2 linked regions of the Rhinolophus ferrumequinum genome follow. The protein of the gene in region 1 interacts with the protein of each later gene in a pairwise test. Links are inferred from orthologs where the notes say so. Each region holds a gene or a part of one and is shown on either strand. Other genes may lie near its edges. The genes, in order: TARBP2 and ZNF346.

Region 1 (8,712 bases):
CCTCTTCTGGACCTCTTCTGGACGGAGGGGGAAGGCCTAATTCTCTGTAGCCCATCCCCTGCCAACATGGTCCAGGACCACCCCTCAGCCATACCCTTTAAGTTCTGAGGGGAAGGAGAAAGTAGGAGCAAGATATGATGGGCCAATAGGCTCATGAAGGGTCTCTCCTGCTCAGGACCTCAGGAGAACCTGAAGAAGTTTAGTGCACTTGAACAAATAGTTCCTGAGCTGAACGTGCATTTTAAAAGATCTGGAGGGACAGCCAGTTAGCTCAGTTGGTTAGGGCATGGTGCTGGTAGCGCCAAGGTTGCCATCGATCCCTGCATGGGCCATGGTAAGCTGCGCCCTCCTTAAAAAAAAAAAAGATCTTGAAGGATAGATACCAAAGTGTAACATTTTCTAGGTTGGTAGAATGGTGGTTGTTTATCTTCTTGCGGCTTATCTATATTTTCTACTATTTCAGTAATGACTTTGAATTGTTTTAAAATGAGAAATTTAAAAATCTATTTTAAATCGAAAAAGAGGACGTCAAAATAAGAGTGTCCATCCATCCCTATCACCTCCCGTGTTTCCCTGAAAATAAGACCTAGCCGGACAATCAGCTCTAATGCGCCTTTTGGAGCAAAAATTAATATAAGACCCGGTATTATATTATATTATACCCGGTATTATATAATAATATTATTTTATTATTAGATTATACCCAGTATTATATAATAATATTATTATTATATTATTATATTATACCGGGTCTTAGAGTAAAATATAGCTTGGGACGACAGTGTGCTATAGAGAGAGGGTGGATAACCTGAGAATCAGAGGCTTGGTTGACATCCTGTCTCTGCTCCTGACCATTTGGGCAACCTGGAGTATGAGACTTCTTAACAAACCTCACAGGTCCTTCATCTCTCAGTGGGGACAGTGATGCCTATGACACACAGTGGTAATGCAATATACCTGGGGGGCCAAAAAATATATAATATATACACGACTTGGATTCATCTTTTGTTATTGGTATATATTGAATATTACAATTTTAATAGTTTTTCCCTTTCTTAAAATATATATACATTGTTTTGGCACCCTCTGTCTAATGTGGTAAGAACACAGGCTCTAGGTCCAACAGACCCTAAGCTCTAACTATATACTGATTTTTTCACTTTGAACAGATTACTTAAGTTTAGTTTCCTCATCGCTAAAATAGAGACAATGATAACACTACCTAATGCTTAGTCCTGCTATGCGCATTACTGAGATAATTCAAATAAAGTTCTGGGCCCAGGACTTGGCACCCAGGAAGCCCTCTCTAAGCATTAGCCGTGTGGAAAGTGCCTGACAAGCACTCGTGGGGGTTTTATACATGTGATTCCTATTCCTTCTTTCCCTTTTCCTCCTCTGCAGAGCAAGAGGCAGTAGGGAGGGTACAAGTGGAAAGGGAAGTGGACAAACACGAGAGGGGAAAAAAGAGCAAAGAAAGAAGACGGCAAAGGACGAGGGCTCTTTATCCTGGGTGAGCCTGGGTCTCATCTGCAATGGCGTCCCTGCCTCATCACCTCCTCCAACACACACGACCCTAGTCCTTCTGGGAGCAAATGAAGCCGACAGACCAGTCTCTGTGGCCAATCCCTCATGACACAGCCCCTGCGTCCCCTACTCCATCAGCTCCACATTTTACTCCTTCTGCCCCAGCAGGGACTCCTGCAGGGGTTGATTCCCTCATCCCTTCTTTCTCCCCAGCCCAGGCAGGGGAGACATAGTTGAGCACACGTGAGCCATTTTGCCACTAGGTGAGTCTAGGATGGTGGGTACTAGCAAAGCCAGACTACCATATGTCACCTCTAGGGGAAGGAGTGGGAGACAGCAGTTGGTGTTTGGAGGGGTTCTTCCATCCTCAGCAGTAAGGACACTCAGGAAATCCTGAGCCACTTCCTTACTTAAATTTCTTGCCTCCTCTGCCCATATCTGGGTTTAATTAGGGGATGGATATTTAGTTGTGTGTTTTTATGTGTGCTGGAGTTTAGGCATCACACCGTTGGTCTTCTTAGCATCACCTCATCCCCACTGTGAGTGGGTGAGTGGCAGGGTTGAAAGGACAGCTGCTTTTCTCCAACCTTAAGTGTGAGGTAGGAGAGAGCAGGCCCTAAAGCTCAGAGGAACTTCAGTGTCTGGATAGGAAGGCCCAGGGCGCACTTGGGCCCTTTCCTTCCTCAATTCTTTCTGCTCGCCTACCCGTGGTATGACCCTCTTCCCTTAGTATAACCCTCTGGCCGAAAATCAGAGCTCCCAGCACCACGGGGTCCACCCTGCAAGTTGGAAGGGAGCTGTGAGTTGTTTAGAGGGAGGCACTGACTGGCTTGAGAGGACTCTGGGTGGGGGAGAGACCTCATGTGCACTCTCTCCTGGTTGAGGGTAAGTCACCCACTCCCCAAGAGAGCAGGACACCCCACTATTTCCTTCCACTGTCTGTGGAGCCTCTGGCCCCTTCTCTTACCTCCCCTCAGCCAAGGCCGTGGTATCAGGAGTCTTAACTCTGTGGAAAGGATTCTTGCGTATTTTTAAGCCAAGGAGTTTGAGGAAGGAGTGTGTGGGGAAAAGGGAGGAGGTTCTGAAAGGCCTGGGCTGGGGAAATGGGTTAGGGGCGCCAGAGGAGATGGAGAGGAGGAGGAAGGAGAAAGCCACATCTGAATGGGGGAGGGGAGGATGCAACAGCTGGATGGAGGTGAATGCCACAGCTGGAGGGGATTAGGGGCTTCACAGTGGGAAGGGGAGGAGGACCATCCCTGGGCATCCAGGAACAGGTGCTTTTTGCCTATAATCTTCAGGTGCAGCCCGATAAGTGTGTGTGGGAGGAGGGTGAGGGGCTCAGTGGGCACATAAGGCCTTGTCCTTCCTTTCCTTCCCTCTCAGGGACCAAAACTCTTCCTCCTCCTTCCCTCGCCCTTCTTGCGGATGAGTGGGAGGAGAAGAGGATGGTCTCTTTCCCGCTGTCCTTTAAGTCTGTTCCCCAGTCATCTCCCCACCCCATGCAGTCCTTTCCAGCTCTTCAGGCCCTTCATCTCCAAGCTGGGCCGCGGTGTCCCTCCGCTCCGTTCCCCTCCTTTACACCCCCACAGGCGTCGGGTCCAGGTCCCCAGTTCCTCCATCCCCACAGCCTCAGCATCCCCGTTCCACCTTCCCCCACCCCGCCACATCTGCATCCCGACCCTCCCTCGGCACCGGGATCACAGGACCCGGACCCATCCCTGCCACCCACCCCCCACAACTCGGCCCGGCTCTCACCTCAGGGGCTCCGCGGCCGCAGCACAAAAGGCGGCGCTGCTGCAGCTCGGCTCCGGATGCTGCTCCCGCCTCCTCCTCCACCTCCTTCTCCTCCTCCTTCTCTCCTCCCCCCCGCTGCCCTCGACTGGACCCGGGGCGCTGTCACAGGCGATGCTCGTGCAGTGTCCGGGTGTACGCCCCAGATTTCTCCCCCCACCCCCCGACCCCTAGCCCCGTCCCCACTCGGCTTGAACTCCCGCTCCTTCCTAGGCCCCTGCCTCTAGCCCCCCGGGACGGACACGCCCTGAGCGGGGATGCTGCGCTGGAGCCGTCGGCCTCTTAAAGGAGCCCGCTGCAGCCGTCCGGTGTGCTCCAGGCTGGATGCGGCCCGTCTGGACCCCTCACCTCCCTGCTGGCGGTCCCACCTTAGGCATTATGGTGATTCCGTAGGAGCCTCCTATGGCCGGTCTTATAAACTCCCTCCTATACCCTGAGACAGTAGCCCCTCAGATGGGACACCCTCCTACCCCCCGCTCTAGAGTTGCTCTCCTTGTCATACTAATTTTGCTAGCTCTCCATCACCTAATTGTCACCACTCCAGTTCCACCCAATGGGAATCCACTCAGCTCAGTGCTCTGTCCCCATCCCGTGTTCCTGGATGACCCCTCATTATCATTCCAAAATTCCTTTGGATATCCACCTCAGACCAAGCCGTGTCGTCCCTGACCCATTCTCAGAACACTCATTAGAATCACATTTTTCGTGATTTCTTTCTCTCCAAGGTCACAAGATTTCCCCCTATCTTTCAGCCCAGTGGTTGTGAGACTTTGGGGAGGAGGGAATGCTCTGACAGCCAGATTAGTCGGTTAGTTTTAGGAGGCCAAAAACCTTCTCTTGCCCAGAGAACCCCAAGACCCACGGCAGAGAGAACAGAACCACCATTAGTCCTTCCAATTCTGTCGTCCCACTACAGTCTCATCCTCAGGCTTCAGAGGACGTCTCCCGGCCAGCGACAGAAAGGTTCACTACGGCCATTCTAAAAAGGCTTTAAAAAAGAAGCGTAAATCCGACAGGCTGCGGGGCACAGTTAAGGGGAAGAGAAGTGAAGGACAACTTAGGAAAAGAAAGCAGGTTCTGTGACACGAATGCCCGAGGGCCAGGGGCTTATGCCGAGGGCTGAGGCGGAAACTGAGATGGACCTGGACGAACAACTGCCCCCGCGCTCTGAGGAGGGCTAAGAACAGTCCCCTCCCGCGTCCTAGTAAGGCCCACCCTTCCACCCTGTAAAGAGGAAGGATCCGATAGCAGTTTCGCCCCTAGACCAATCACAACCTTTTCTCAAGAAAGAGGCAGGATCAAGGGAGATGACTTTCCTTGTCCCTGCCCTCTAGGTGAAGTAACCAATCGCAATCCACCTAGAGCAAGTAATCGCAATCGGAAATAACCAATTACGCCGGGCAGCTTCTCGTGCATGCCTGACCCTGCCCCTCCAGCTGCGGCAAAGATGGCGCGCGAACTCCTGGGTTCTGTAGTTTTCTCAGGAGTCGAAGGCCCCTTTCCCCCACTACTCGTTAGCCCTTACCACCCCGCCCCCAGTCGCTTCCACTCAGCTAGTGCGCATGCCCACAGCGCCCGCCCAAGAGAGAGGAGACGCGGAAGGAAGGTGGCGGGAACGATATTAAAAAAACAAAACAAAAAAACCACTTCTCAGCTCTGGAAGCGACTGCAGAAAGATTCGCTCCTCCCAGAAGGAGGTGCTGGCCGCGAGGGCGAACCACGCGGAGCGTTGTGGGGCGGAGAGCTCCTGATGGAGACTCAAGGAATCGGGTGGGCGGGGGACTCCATATCCCAGCATGCCCCGCGGCGGGCCCGACCGGCCGCGACTCCGGGCTTGGCCCCGGCCCTAGCTCGTTGGCGGTGTATTGGGGCGCGTGGAGGCAGCAGTCACGGTGGCGCCCGCGGGGACGGAGGAGGGAATGAGTGAAGAGGAGCAGGGCTCCGGCACTACCACGGGCTGCGGGCTGCCCAGGTGAGCCGCCTCGTGCCGATCGCTGCAGGGCGAAGAGCGTGGTGCGATTTGGGGGGGTAGCGGCGCGGCCCCGCCCCAGCATGCATCTGGCCTGGGGGTTCTTCCCGGCAAGCACTGGGGTAGTGGGCCGTGGTTCCCAGCATGCACCGAGCAGTGGCCAGTGTCTCTAGCTTGAAACAATTTGGGGCTGGCCGAGTCTCCCAGATTGCACTAGGGCACTGGGCTGTATGCCCCCCGACGTTCAGTACACTTGGTGGGTACTGGGTTCCTGGCCTGCACTGTGTCAGGGTACGTGCACTTCCAAGCTGCACTCTGGTACAGGATCCCCCGCCTTAACTGAGACAGGAACAGTGCATTCCCCGCTTGCCCCGGGGCAGTGGACCCTGCTTTCCCAGCCTGCATCTCTACTCCAAATTGAACCCAGCCAATGGCTGCTGTACTGCCTGGGGTCCCGTGGACCCTGTGTTCCCCATAGTGTGCTTGGGTCTGATAAAACAGTGCTTGGCCAGGTGGGTGCAGAGAGGGGAGGTGTGATGAGGGTCTGTGCCCCTACCCCAGTATAGAGCAAATGCTGGCAGCCAACCCGGGCAAGACCCCGATCAGCCTTCTGCAGGAGTATGGGACCAGAATAGGGAAGACGCCCGTGTACGACCTTCTCAAAGCCGAGGGCCAAGCCCACCAGCCTAATTTCACCTTTCGGGTCACCGTTGGCGACACCAGCTGCACTGGTGAGGAAGGCTTGGGCAGCCTAGCTGGGGTGTGCGTTCACAGGGCCCCATTGGCTTTATTTTTTGGAATCTCTTCACAGTACTTTTCTTCAAAGGCCAGTAAGGGAAAGAATTTTCAGGGGGAAAGGCCACTGACTGGATTGGGAGAACAGGTCTGTGAGGAGGTGGGTAGGGCTTGGGAGAATTAGAGGAACAAGCAGGACTGCCACCGTGACCTGGTAGGTCATCATCATCCTAGAGGAAAAAGTAAGAGGAGATAAATGGAAATCGCAGTGAAGTATTGGGGAGTGCCTGCTGTGTTCTAGGTGCTTAACCAAATTCCTACTTAATCATAAGCCTCAGTCTAATCCAGTAATGTAGGGGGTGGTATCCTCATGTTGAATTTGAGGAGATGGAGGCTCAGAGAGATCCAATGACTTCTTCACATGCTTAGTTAGTGGCAGAGCCAGGCTTTGACTCTAGAGCCTACCCTCTCTCTATTTTTTCAGCCATCTATTTATTGAGAGAAAAGAAAGTGCTTCCCAGAGGAAAGTAAGGCAGAGAAAGAATCTCCACCTAAGGTGTCTGAGCTCAGGAGCAGTTCTTGATTTGGGGAGCTCATGGAAAGATAAGGGCCCTTCCTTCCAGCAATTAGTGTAACACTTCCAGTCTTGGGCAGGGGGGAGGTTGGTGAGAAGGGATTTGGTTGACTTCCTGTGGTTGTGGGGAGAGAGGCTGTGGGATGCTGGTTTCTCTTCTGTCCTTCCAGTGATCTCCAGTATTGCCCACACCCCCTCTCTCAGGTCAGGGCCCCAGCAAGAAGGCAGCCAAGCACAAGGCAGCTGAGGTGGCCCTCAAACACCTCAAAGGGGGGAGCATGCTGGAGCCGGCCCTGGAGGACAGCAGGTGAGGGAGGAACAGCTGCGGCATCCTAGAGGCCCTGCCAAGAGCCCAGGCCCCTGCACTAGCCCTCTGCCCACTAGGCCTGGCCTGGTGATACTTAGCCACCTTGACCTGGCCTCTTCCTAAGACTCCTCTGGACTCGAGCAGGAAGCTTCCAGGGCTCCTGCTGCCGTGAAGGATTCTGGGGGGAATGGCCAGCCCCACTGAGGGACTGTGGTTTGGGGCTCAGGCTAGGGAGGGAGAGGGGTGGAGGCTGAGGGAGTTGCTCCCCAACATACCTCCTCTCTCTATCAAGGTGTCCTTCCCTCTTCTGCACTCAGGTCAGAGATTGTTGCTCCCATGGTTCTTGGGTACAAAAAGACCCTCCTTTTCCTTTTCTCTATCTTTTTGATCTGGTAATTTGGCAGCAATGGATCCCAGGAGGAAGAGCTGGTGGTTGAGCTTCTCTGAGTCTTTGGCTCAAGTGGGAAGGACTTTTCTTAGGGGATGGGCAGATCAGAAGGACCTGGGTCTCCCACCCTTCCTTTACTCCCCCCACCCCACATGGGTGTGAATCAAAGGCCCCCTTCCCCTCGGGAAGTTCTTTTTCTCCCCTAGACTCTTCACTGCCTGAGGACGTTCCAGTTTTTACTGCTGCAGTGGCTGCTACTCCTGTTCCATCTGCTGTCCCAACCAGGTATCTTGTCTCCTGACTGCCTGAAGGGGGGAGGAAAGGGTCCTGGCTGTTGGTCCTCAGCCCTTGGACCCAGGCTGGCCAGGCATGAGGAAGTTTGAGAATAAACAGAGTCTGGAGTAATTGGGGACCAGACATGGAAGAAGTTGCACTAGCTGGTAAGCTCTTGGGAGAGGATGTAATTAATGATTTTTAAATAGCCATATGGATGATGTTTGACTATGTTTAAGGGTCTTGCAGGTACCATTTTCTTCTGAGTTGGCCCCATGATAGTCCTGTGTTTGAGTCCCATCAGGTGCTTCCAGGGACTGGATATACAGCCCCACTCCCACTGTCCTGGCGAGGTGACGATCAAGTGTTCTAGAAAATCGAAATGGGCCTGGGACCTGGAGGAGACCTCAGTTGTGGGGGAGGGGGAAGGAAGCAGTCTGGATGTTTGGACAAACAGCTGACTGCCTGGCGGGAAGTAGGGAGATGGTAGTGGGGAAAAGCAAAACAAGGCTTAGGACTCATGGGCAGCCTCAGAAGGAACGAGCTCCCTCAGCTTTGGCTCCGGGCCCTTTTTCCCTTAGGAGCACCCCCATGGAGGTGCAGCCCCCCGTCTCCCCTCAGCAGTCTGAGTGCAACCCTGTTGGTGCTCTGCAGGTGTGCCCCCTGTCCTCATTTCCTGTGCATGCCTGTCTTCCCTTGAACCAGGGGCCATGAGGGAAGGTTATGGGGTTGGTTACCCTGTTCTGAAGGCTTTTTCCACACCTTTATTCCTCCTTTAACCTGGAATCTGAGGCTCCTAGGGTAGGAGGGAGAGGATGTTTGGATTCTTTTCTCACTTGTCCTTGTGTACCCTTGTTTCTCCCTTCCAAGGAGCTGGTGGTGCAGAAGGGCTGGCGGTTACCCGAGTACACGGTGACCCAGGAGTCTGGGCCAGCGCACCGCAAAGAATTTACCATGACCTGCCGAGTGGAGCGTTTCATTGAGATTGGTAACTGGGCAGAGGGGAGTTCTTGCAGCTCCTATCCTCCAGCACCCCAGGGCCACAGGCAGCCCCCAGGCTCTCTGTTACAGCCCAGCTTTCCTGGCTAAGACCTCTAGCGTGGCTCCTTCCTCCCAGCTCCTTCCTTGCACCCTGTCCTTCCCCCCTTTTC
Region 2 (9,199 bases), on another chromosome or scaffold:
GGTTGGGGCACAGATGCTTGGGAGAGTATCAGAAGACCATGGAGAGGGAAGGAGTCAGACTATAAACGGCCACTTACACCACAGCAGGACATTTTACCTTTGTCCTAAAAGTAATGGGGAACCATTGAAGTACTGTAGGTTCCGGAGTACAGCACAGAACCTAGCTACAATAGACTGGCTGTTTATGTCCTCCCCAAATTTGTATATTGAAATCCTAATCCCCAGTGGGATAGTATTAGGGGATCTATGGTATTTTGTTATAGCAGCCTGAACGGACTAAGACACTGGCACATAATGTACAAGGCCTTAAATAAAGCCTGCTGATTAGATGTGACTCAAACCACTATGCCAGTTCAAGATCTATGCCAATCTTGGCAATCCTTCAGTAGAGATGACAGAGCTGCGTTGGATCATCTTAGGCCATTGTAGATTTCTTTGGGTACATTAAACTAGACGAAATGCACAGACTATTAATTGAAACTGGTCCTAGAAAATATGGAGAAAAGTGTGGTTTAGCTGATACAGTCTTCATCAAGATGAAACTGGAACCTAACATTAATTTGTTATATTTTCAGAAAAAATATAGCTTTCAGAATAAACTGGTATGTGCCAGGCAATGTGTTATGTAGTTTACGGGAATTATTTTCATTAATCTTCACAATCACCATTTAAAGTGGGTACCATTTTCTCATTTTACAGATGAAGAAGCAAACTTACAAATGTTAAATAATTTACATAAAATCATAGATCATGAGTGCAGAACGAAGCAGCTGATGTCAAGATGAGTGCCTCCCAGATTCAACTGACGGCCTGTTTGTTTTCAGAGATTATCGGAGTTAATCCCCATCCTGCTCTCCTCAGATATCATCAGGGTCCAATACATCATAGCCACCCATTGCACCTCACGTAGCTCTGAACATCCACCCCTCCAGCCTTGCCAAGGGTGTCCCGACACAGCCTGGAATCACAGTCCCTGCACCACCACTGGGGTGATGAGAAGCAGTAGCCTTATCTGTTCATTCCAATTTTCCACACAGATATGCTTATTTCCTAAGTGGGCTGTGCCACCGAAAACGTTGAGAAGCTCTACATGAATCTAATCTAACCCTCCTCTTACCCCTCCTTCTCAGAATCCTCTGGAAATCCCAATCTGTGATCAACAAACTCCCCTATACCCTCAGTCGTCCTTGGAAAGGCGCTGAATTAAAACCTGGCGTCCCCTGAGGATATTGTTTCCTGCAGGCCAGAAGACCTTACAAAATAACCCAGCCCAAGAAAGACTGCAGCAAAGATGTATCCCCAGAGTGTGGCTGTTCCACAGTCTTCCTCAGGAGCACCCCAGCTATTTGAGGTCAATCTCAGGTTCTAAACCAAACAATACTTATTCACATCCTGTTAGTAAAATCTAATCTATGACCACCTCTAATAGCTAGAGATGTGATCACAGAGCTGAGAAGTAGAAAGACTCATATGGGGTAACCCAGATACTATCATGATCCCCACAACTGGGGCTTTGTTGTCCTACTCCATCCATACTAACCTTAACCATGTTTTATTTTCTGTATTTTATGATACTTTGATATATTGGGGCCTTGTGGACCAAGGTAGAACTGCCCCTCTCAGGGTTAGCTAATTCCTAACAAAAGCAAATAATCTGCCTTCAAGCACACCTTTTATTTGTAAACCAACCAATCCAAAGTCCACACCCCCAACCACCTCTTTAACTCTCACACCCCAAGTCAGTATTCCCCCTGCCCTAAATCACCCCAGACAACTAGGGACCCACTCCTACAGCCCAGAGCCTGATGAAATTATTCAGACTAGCCAATCCTAAACTGCTTACCTTGCCTCATACATTCCTTCCTTCAGAAACCACAATAAAGTCTCTGGGCCTTGCTCTCCCTTTTCTCCTTCTGCCTCCAGAACAACCCTGGTACTTCCTCATATAGTCCTGCATGGTGTGGTGTGCTCCCCTTCTATTTTGAACCATAACTAAACTTTCAATGGCATTGAACTTGTGTGTCATCACTCAGTCACCTCTATAAATTAAATCCTGGGTGCAATCAAAACAGTTATCACTTATATTATAGCAGTTAAAACATACTCTCAGATATTAAGTATACAGTAGATACTTTCTTGTCTGGAGTTTAATGTTCCTGAGAGCAGGAACTATATTTTACTAAATTCTGTAGTGTGGGTTACCATGCACATGTGCACGCATGCACACAGAGTGAGTGTTTACCCAACTGAAGTATCTGTTGAACTGTGGCCAATTCCTGTCTCTTGGAAAAGCCATTTCCTTGGGATTGTTCTTCTCCCATAGCAACAACACATAGAACATGTTGGGAAATGGTTCTTGTTTTCCACAAAGAAGAAATAAAAAACCAGCCCCATAAACATAAGGCGTCATCACCTGCACTGCTAGGTCCCAGCAAGGAGTCCAGGCCTAGGCATTATTGGAAGGACTTACACAAATGCACAGCAGAAAACTGGTGATAGTGAGGGCTGTTCAGAAACTCAGAGCTGTAGCTCGGGACTCTGCTCAGTGGCACAGGGGACATACTGTGACAGCATTCATTGGAAAGTAAATAGAAAGTAAATAGTAAATTTTTAGCATTTAATTGGATTGAGAATAGGGGGAGGGAGACTGTTTTACAATATACACCGCATCTTAAGTACTCCACTCCCAGGATGTGCTGCTCCATTGTGTTAAAAAATATCCTCGTGAGTTCTGGGACTTTAACAAAAATGCCCTGTATCCTTTGTGATTTCTAGCTGAATAACTCATGCTATGCAAATATAAGTAGAAATCTTCTTTAAGATAAATAAGTAATGTATAATCATTGGCTTTTAGGCTGGTCATCCAGTATTGGCAAAAGGATTTTTGCCATGGATTTACAGTCTGAGGACCAGTGTTCAAACATAAACTCCGTCACTAACCAGATATGTGACCCTGATAAAACTTTCACTTCTCCCAGTCTTTTTCTTTATTGTTAAATACGTAGGTATCTCTCATTGGAGAACCACCTTGAGGATTTAATGTTATAATGTCTGTTAAAGGTGCTTCATAACCTATAAAGCACTGCACAAACATTAGTCATCTACGGCACTGGAAGTTTCAGAGCCGGGCATGAGGCCTGACACGGAGTTTGTGCTCAATATTTGTAGTATAAATGAGTAAATCCCAGTAATGAGCTGTGTGATCTCAGGCAAGAAATAGCTCTGTCTCTATCTCTCTTTGGCCTCCTCTGATACCACTTTTCCCCTTGTTCACTGAGCTCCAGCCATACTATCCTTTTTCCTGTTCTTCCAACACAGTAAGTTCATTCCTGCCACAGGGCCTTTGCGCCTGCTGTTTCCTCTGCCTGGAATGCTCTTCCCAAGCTCGTTGGCCATCCCATGTTCATCAATCAGGTCTTAAGTCAAATGTCATTTCTTCAGAGCTTTTCTCTGACTACTCTAATATTCCTTCCACAATATTCACCCAAGATGTTTTACTGTTTTAATTTCTCCTTATCATTTTTTACTATCTGTTGACTTACTACACTCTCCTCAACCAGAATAAAAAATGTTCTCTTAGAGCTTCCCTATCTGTCTAGCTCACCACTGTATTCCAGTGCCCAAAATAACATCTAGCTAATAGTACACCCTAAATAAACATTTGAATAAATGAGGTTGAAATAAGGTAATTATATCAAAAGTTTCATTCATTCAACAAATATTTTGTATGTACCCATGAGGGTCCAGGCTCTGTTTCAAAGTGCTGGGGATTCAGCTGAGAACGAAGTAGAGAAAAATCTCTCCTTTTCTGAGGCTTGCCTTTTTTTTTTTTTTAAATTGGGAAATATTGGGGAACAGTGTGTTTTTCCAGGACCCATCAGCTCCATGTCAAGTCGTTGTTTTCAATCTAGTTGTGGAGGGCACAGCTCATTAGCCCATGTGGGAATCGAACTGGCAACCTGGGTGTTATGAGCACTGCATTCTAACCACTGAGCCAACCAAGAGCTTGCCTTTTCAGTGGGGAGACAAACAATAAACAAGATAAAAAGTAAAATATAAACTATGATCTGATAATGGTAAGTGTTAAGGAGGAATAAAAATAAAGCAGGAATGGATATGAAGTGTATGTGAAGGGGTAAAACTTAGGTAAGTTAGCCAGAGAAGGAAATCAGAGACAACCATGAAGACACATGGGGGAAATTATATCCTGGAGGCCAGGGTAACTGGGACAGGAATGAAGGGATTGGAGGCTAACACAATGGGAAATGAGGGAAGTTAAGTCAATTGTGTAGGGTCCTGTTGGCTAAACTAAGGACTTTGGCTTTTTTGAAGAGTGAAATAAGGTGTTGGAGAATTTGAGCACCGTAGTGTCATGATATGGCTTGTTCCGAGATGATCGCTGGGTCTGCTGTGCTGGGAATACTTGAAGAGTAAGGAGAGGAACCAGTGAGGACTCCACTACAACAACCTTGGCAAGAGATGGTGGCTCCGAGAGACTGCGAGAGGGCCAAGTGTGGGATTGGAAGACAGAATTTCAGTTTGACAGTTCTGCTGGAGAGGAGTTTAGAGGGAGTTCAGGTCTGGGGGTTAACACTTGGAACTCAAACAGTATCTATTAGAATCATGGAGATGGAGTCCTGGCTCTACCACTTGCTAGTAACGAACTCTTGAGTAAACCATTTCTAGCTTTTTTTTTAAAGATTTTATTGGGGAAGGGGAACAGGACTTTATTGGGGAACAGTGTGTACTACCAGGACTTTTTCCAAGTCAAGTTGTTGTCCCTTCAATCTTAGTTGTGGAGGGTGCCATTCACAATCTATTTATTGTCCTTTCAGTCTTAGTTGTGGAGGGCGCAGCTCAGCTCCAGGTCCAGTTGCCGTTCCTAGTTGCAGGGGGCGCAGCCCACCATCCCTTGCGGGAGACGAGGAATCAAACTGGCAACCTTGTGGTTGAGAGGCCGCGCTCCAACCAACTGAGCCATCCTGGAGCCTCAGCAGCAGCTCAGCTCAAGGTGCCATGTTCAATTTTAGTTGCAGGGGGCACAGCCCACCATCCCTTGCAGGACTTGAGAATCGAGCTGGCAACCTTGTGGTTGAGAGGATGTACTCCAACCAACTGAGCCAGCCAGGAAGCAGCTCAGCTCAAGGTGCTGTGTTCAATCTTAGTTGCAGGTGATGGAGCCCACCATCCCTTGCAGGACTCGAGGAGCCAAACCAGCAACCCTGTGGTTGAGAGCCCACTGGCCCATGTGGGAATCGAACCAGCAGCCTTCGGAGTTAGGAGCATGGAGCTCTAACCGCCTGAGCCACCAGGCCGGCCCCCATTTCTAGCTTTCGGGTCTCAGTTTCCCTGCCAGTGAAATGGGGAAAATATTCCCACATAACAGGGCCTCACGAGAACGAAATGAGACGTGTCAAAGACTGACCGTGAGCAAGGTGAGAACCCTGAGCCAAGGACTGATGGATACCGTCCCAAACGGAGGGGGCTGCTATGGAACCGGCGACCAACTTCCGACTCCACAACAGATGCTTCGAAGTCCCAACAGCAACGAGGAAAAAAAAGCCCCGGCCGGCACCGCAACGCGGTCTGCGCCGCCCAACCTCGCGAGATTTGTTGGCCCGGCAAAGTCACTCTCCCAGCCACATCTCGCGAGACTAAGGTTCAGGAGAGGCTATCGGCCGGTTAGGGGTTGCGGGGAAGATGGAGTATCCCGCGTTGGGCACGGTGGAGGCCGCGGACAGCGGAGGGGCCCGGCCATACAACATCTCGGAGGAGCGGGAGGGCCGGGAACCAGACCGGCTGCGCTTCGACCGCGAGAGGGCGCGCCGCCTGTGGGAAGCAGTGTCCGGGGCCCAACCAGTGGGGAGGGAGGAAGGTGAGTCCGAGGGTCTCAGAGGCAGGAAGCCCCTAGCCCGCCTGCCCGTTTCGCGGGGAGTGGCGGAAGCCCGGGGCGAGAACGCGGACCAGCCCCCGGGTCTACGGTCACACCCCCTAACTCCTGGCCCGCCCACTTGCGTGACGCGCCGGAGGACTCCATCGGGCCCATGCCCGTGGGCCAGCTCCCCTGAAAATCGAGTCCGCGGCACCCCAAGAATCAGGGCCCCGCGTGCAAATGGTCAAGGGCCTTCTCAAGTTCAGGCCGCCAGTGCTTTCTGCCCTGCATTCTTTACCCACCAGAGCGCAGTTCTTTCCAAGCTCGTGGACTGGAATCCCTCTCCATGCCTTCTGGGAGACCCGAGACTCGTAGCCCCCTCACCGTTTCTCCCTGACTCTCCATCGTCCCAGTCTCCAGGCTCCCCCAGCCCTACTGTCTCTTGCCTCCCTACTCTCATGCCCCACACTTCCAAGGGCTCTAAAAGCCTTCTTACCCCCATGTTCCTCCTGGCCTTGGTGACTGAGCCCTGGTTTACCCGTTTTTAGGTGTCTGGTCTCTGCCAACTGGGTCCCTTTTCTGACATGGGGGCCAGGAGCCTGAGAAACAGGGACACTTCTCCGCTGAAGGTTCCCAGCTGGCTCTGCATTTTACCTGGCAGTGGTAAGATGGAGATGGAAAGAGCTGGCCTGACCTGGTTGTGTGACTCTCTTCACAGTCCTTAGCAGAGGTAGCTGCACAAAAACGGGCTTCTATGCTAATCCTATCATGTGATCTTCAGGGCAATCAGATTTCTGTAACGGTTTGTTTGCTTGCTGAGCAGCCTCTTCTTGTAAAGTTTAATATGTTGCCTGTGGGCTGATTGCCCTGTGATAAAATGGAATTTTTGACCACATCCAGGACTACATATGTTTCAATTTGGGATGGTATACAGACGTATACCCTAGTATATTTCTCCAGTTTAAAAACTAGTCTAGTCTGACTCCTAAATTATTATGTGCCCCCTCTGTCCCTCATACATTCTAACTTGTGTGGTAGAAAGTTGCACCCCGCCCCAACCTGGCAGTTTTCTTTTAATTAATTTGACAAACATTCCTGATGCCTGCTCTACTCCCAAGACTGGCTGAGCATCAGAACTACAGAGATGAGGAAAAGACTGCCCTTGCCCTACAGGAGGGACCTGTAGTCTAGTCCAGGAAGCAGACACCAAAACAGTTTCAGTCTAATGTATAGTAGGAACAGTGGAGAGGAATGCCTAAGAGTTGGGGATGCACAAAAAGAGGAAGTGACCTTTGTCCTCAACCCAGCAGCTGTGTGCTGGAAAGTGAACTGTCTCTTTCCGTGTATATGAATGTACAGTGTCGCTTACAACCCAGTTCATTTCCCTACTCTCTTCGCTTTTGCAATATTTATATGAGGTTTAGGTAGATACCTGTAACCCCAAGTTCTACTTGCTTGGGTTTTTTTTTTCCTTCTCTTAGCACTTTCATTGAGTTAGAATTTACATACCATAAAATTCACCCATTGTAATTATACAATTCAATGATTTTTAGTAAAAGGATAGTTATGTAGCCATAGTCCAGTTTTAGAATATTTCCATCACTCCAGGTCTTTTGTGCTCCTTTATTTTAAATCCCCACTCCTACCTCCTGCCCTAGGCAACCCCTGAACTGTTTTTCTGTCTCTATAAACTTGCCTTTTCTGGACATTTCATATAAATGGCAGCATTCAAATGTAGTATTTTCCATTTGGCTTCTCTCAGCATGTTTTTGAGGTTCAGCCAAATTGTAGTGTGTATTAATACTTCATTCCCTTTCATTGAAAGTAGAATTCCATTATATGGATCTTGTTTTCTTTTATCCTCTGACAATCTGTACCTTTTGGGTGAGCTGTTTAGACTATTCACATTTAATTTAATTATTGTTATGGCCAGATTTACATTTTCCATTTTGGTATTTATCTTCTTTTTGTTTTGTTCTTTTCCTCTTTTACTGGCTTTTGTGTTAAGTATTTTGCAGTGTACCATTTTAGTTCCCCTATTGATTTTTTTTTTAAGTTATTTTCCTAGTGGTGTTTTAGGGACTACAGGATGCATCTTGACTCATCACAGTCTACTTCAAATTAATACTAACTTAATTCTAGTAAAATATAAAAGCATTCCTATAATGTAACTCCTTTCCTCCCCCTCCTTTGTGCTGTTGTTGTCATATATGTCTATATATGTTATAAACCTAATTAAACATTGTCATAATTATTGCTTTATACAATGTTTTTTAAAGAAGAAAATAAGTTAGAAAAAAATATATAATGTCTTTTATATTAACCCACATATTTACCATTTTTGATGTTCTTTATTTTTTCCTCTGAATTCAAGTTATCGTGTATCACTTTCAGCCTGAAGGGCTATTTTAAGTATGTCTTGCAAGGCAGACCTGCTAGCAATGAATTGTCTCAGTCTTTATCTGGGAATGTTTTTATTTTGTCTTCATTCATAAAGGATAGTTGTTATTTTTTTTCTAATAACAGCTTTATTGACACCTGATTCATATACCATAAAATTTGTCCTTTTAAAATGTACATTTAGTATATTCACAGAGTTGTGCAGCCATCACCACTGTCTAATTTCAGAACATTTTCATCACCCCAGAAATATACCCTGTACCCATTAGCAGTCACCACTGGCAAGTGCTTAACCTTTTTTCTGTTCATATGGATTTACCTATTCTGGACATTTCATATAAATGGAATTATATAATATGTGTTCTTTTGCAACTGGCTTCTGTCACTTAGCATAAGATTTGAAGGATAGTTTTGTTGGACATAGAGTTCTTGGTTGATAGTTTTGTTCTTTTTCACTATTTTCCCCATTTTTATTTTTTTATATTAGTTTCAGATGTACAGCATAGTGATTAGTTCACTACTCTGAATATGTCTTCTGGCATTCATTGTTTCAAGATGAGAAGTCATTAATCAAATTATTCCACTGTAGATGATGAGTCATTTTTCTCTTGCTGCTTTCAAGATTTTCTGTCTTTATATTTCAATTGTTTGACTGTGATGTGTCTAGGGGTCAATCTCTTGGTATTTATTTTATTTTGAGGGTCTGAGATATTTGGATATATGGATTAATGTCTTTCTTTGGTCAAATGTGGGGAGTTTTCAGGCCTTATTTCTTCAAATATTTTTTTTTCTGCTGCTTTCTCTTCTCTCCTTCTGAGATTCCCTTATACATATGCTGGTATGCTTGATGTGTCCCACAGGTCTCTGAGGCTCTGCTTGTTATTCTTCAGTTTTCTTTTTTTTTTAATTGGGGAATATAGGGGAACA

What was found.
Region 2: the proteins of TARBP2 (region 1) and ZNF346 interact in binary tests that used the Homo sapiens proteins (3 or more experiments, as listed by UniProt). The two-hybrid records come from large-scale screens. The link is inferred for Rhinolophus ferrumequinum from reciprocal best matches to the Homo sapiens genes TARBP2 and ZNF346.

What each region holds. Positions count from the first base shown.
Region 1 is NC_046293.1:53,364,178-53,372,889, forward strand, and holds the start of TARBP2 (RISC-loading complex subunit TARBP2), read left to right. Parts: upstream 1-4,881; 5' UTR 4,882-5,234; coding exon 5,235-5,287; intron 5,288-5,845; coding exon 5,846-6,015; intron 6,016-6,797; coding exon 6,798-6,900; intron 6,901-7,477; coding exon 7,478-7,573; intron 7,574-8,142; coding exon 8,143-8,215; intron 8,216-8,431; coding exon 8,432-8,549; intron 8,550-8,712. UniProt on the Homo sapiens protein: Required for formation of the RNA induced silencing complex (RISC). Component of the RISC loading complex (RLC), also known as the micro-RNA (miRNA) loading complex (miRLC), which is composed of DICER1, AGO2 and TARBP2.
Region 2 is NC_046307.1:5,567,159-5,576,357, reverse strand, and holds the start of ZNF346 (zinc finger protein 346), read left to right. Parts: upstream 1-5,670; 5' UTR 5,671-5,700; coding exon 5,701-5,875; intron 5,876-9,199.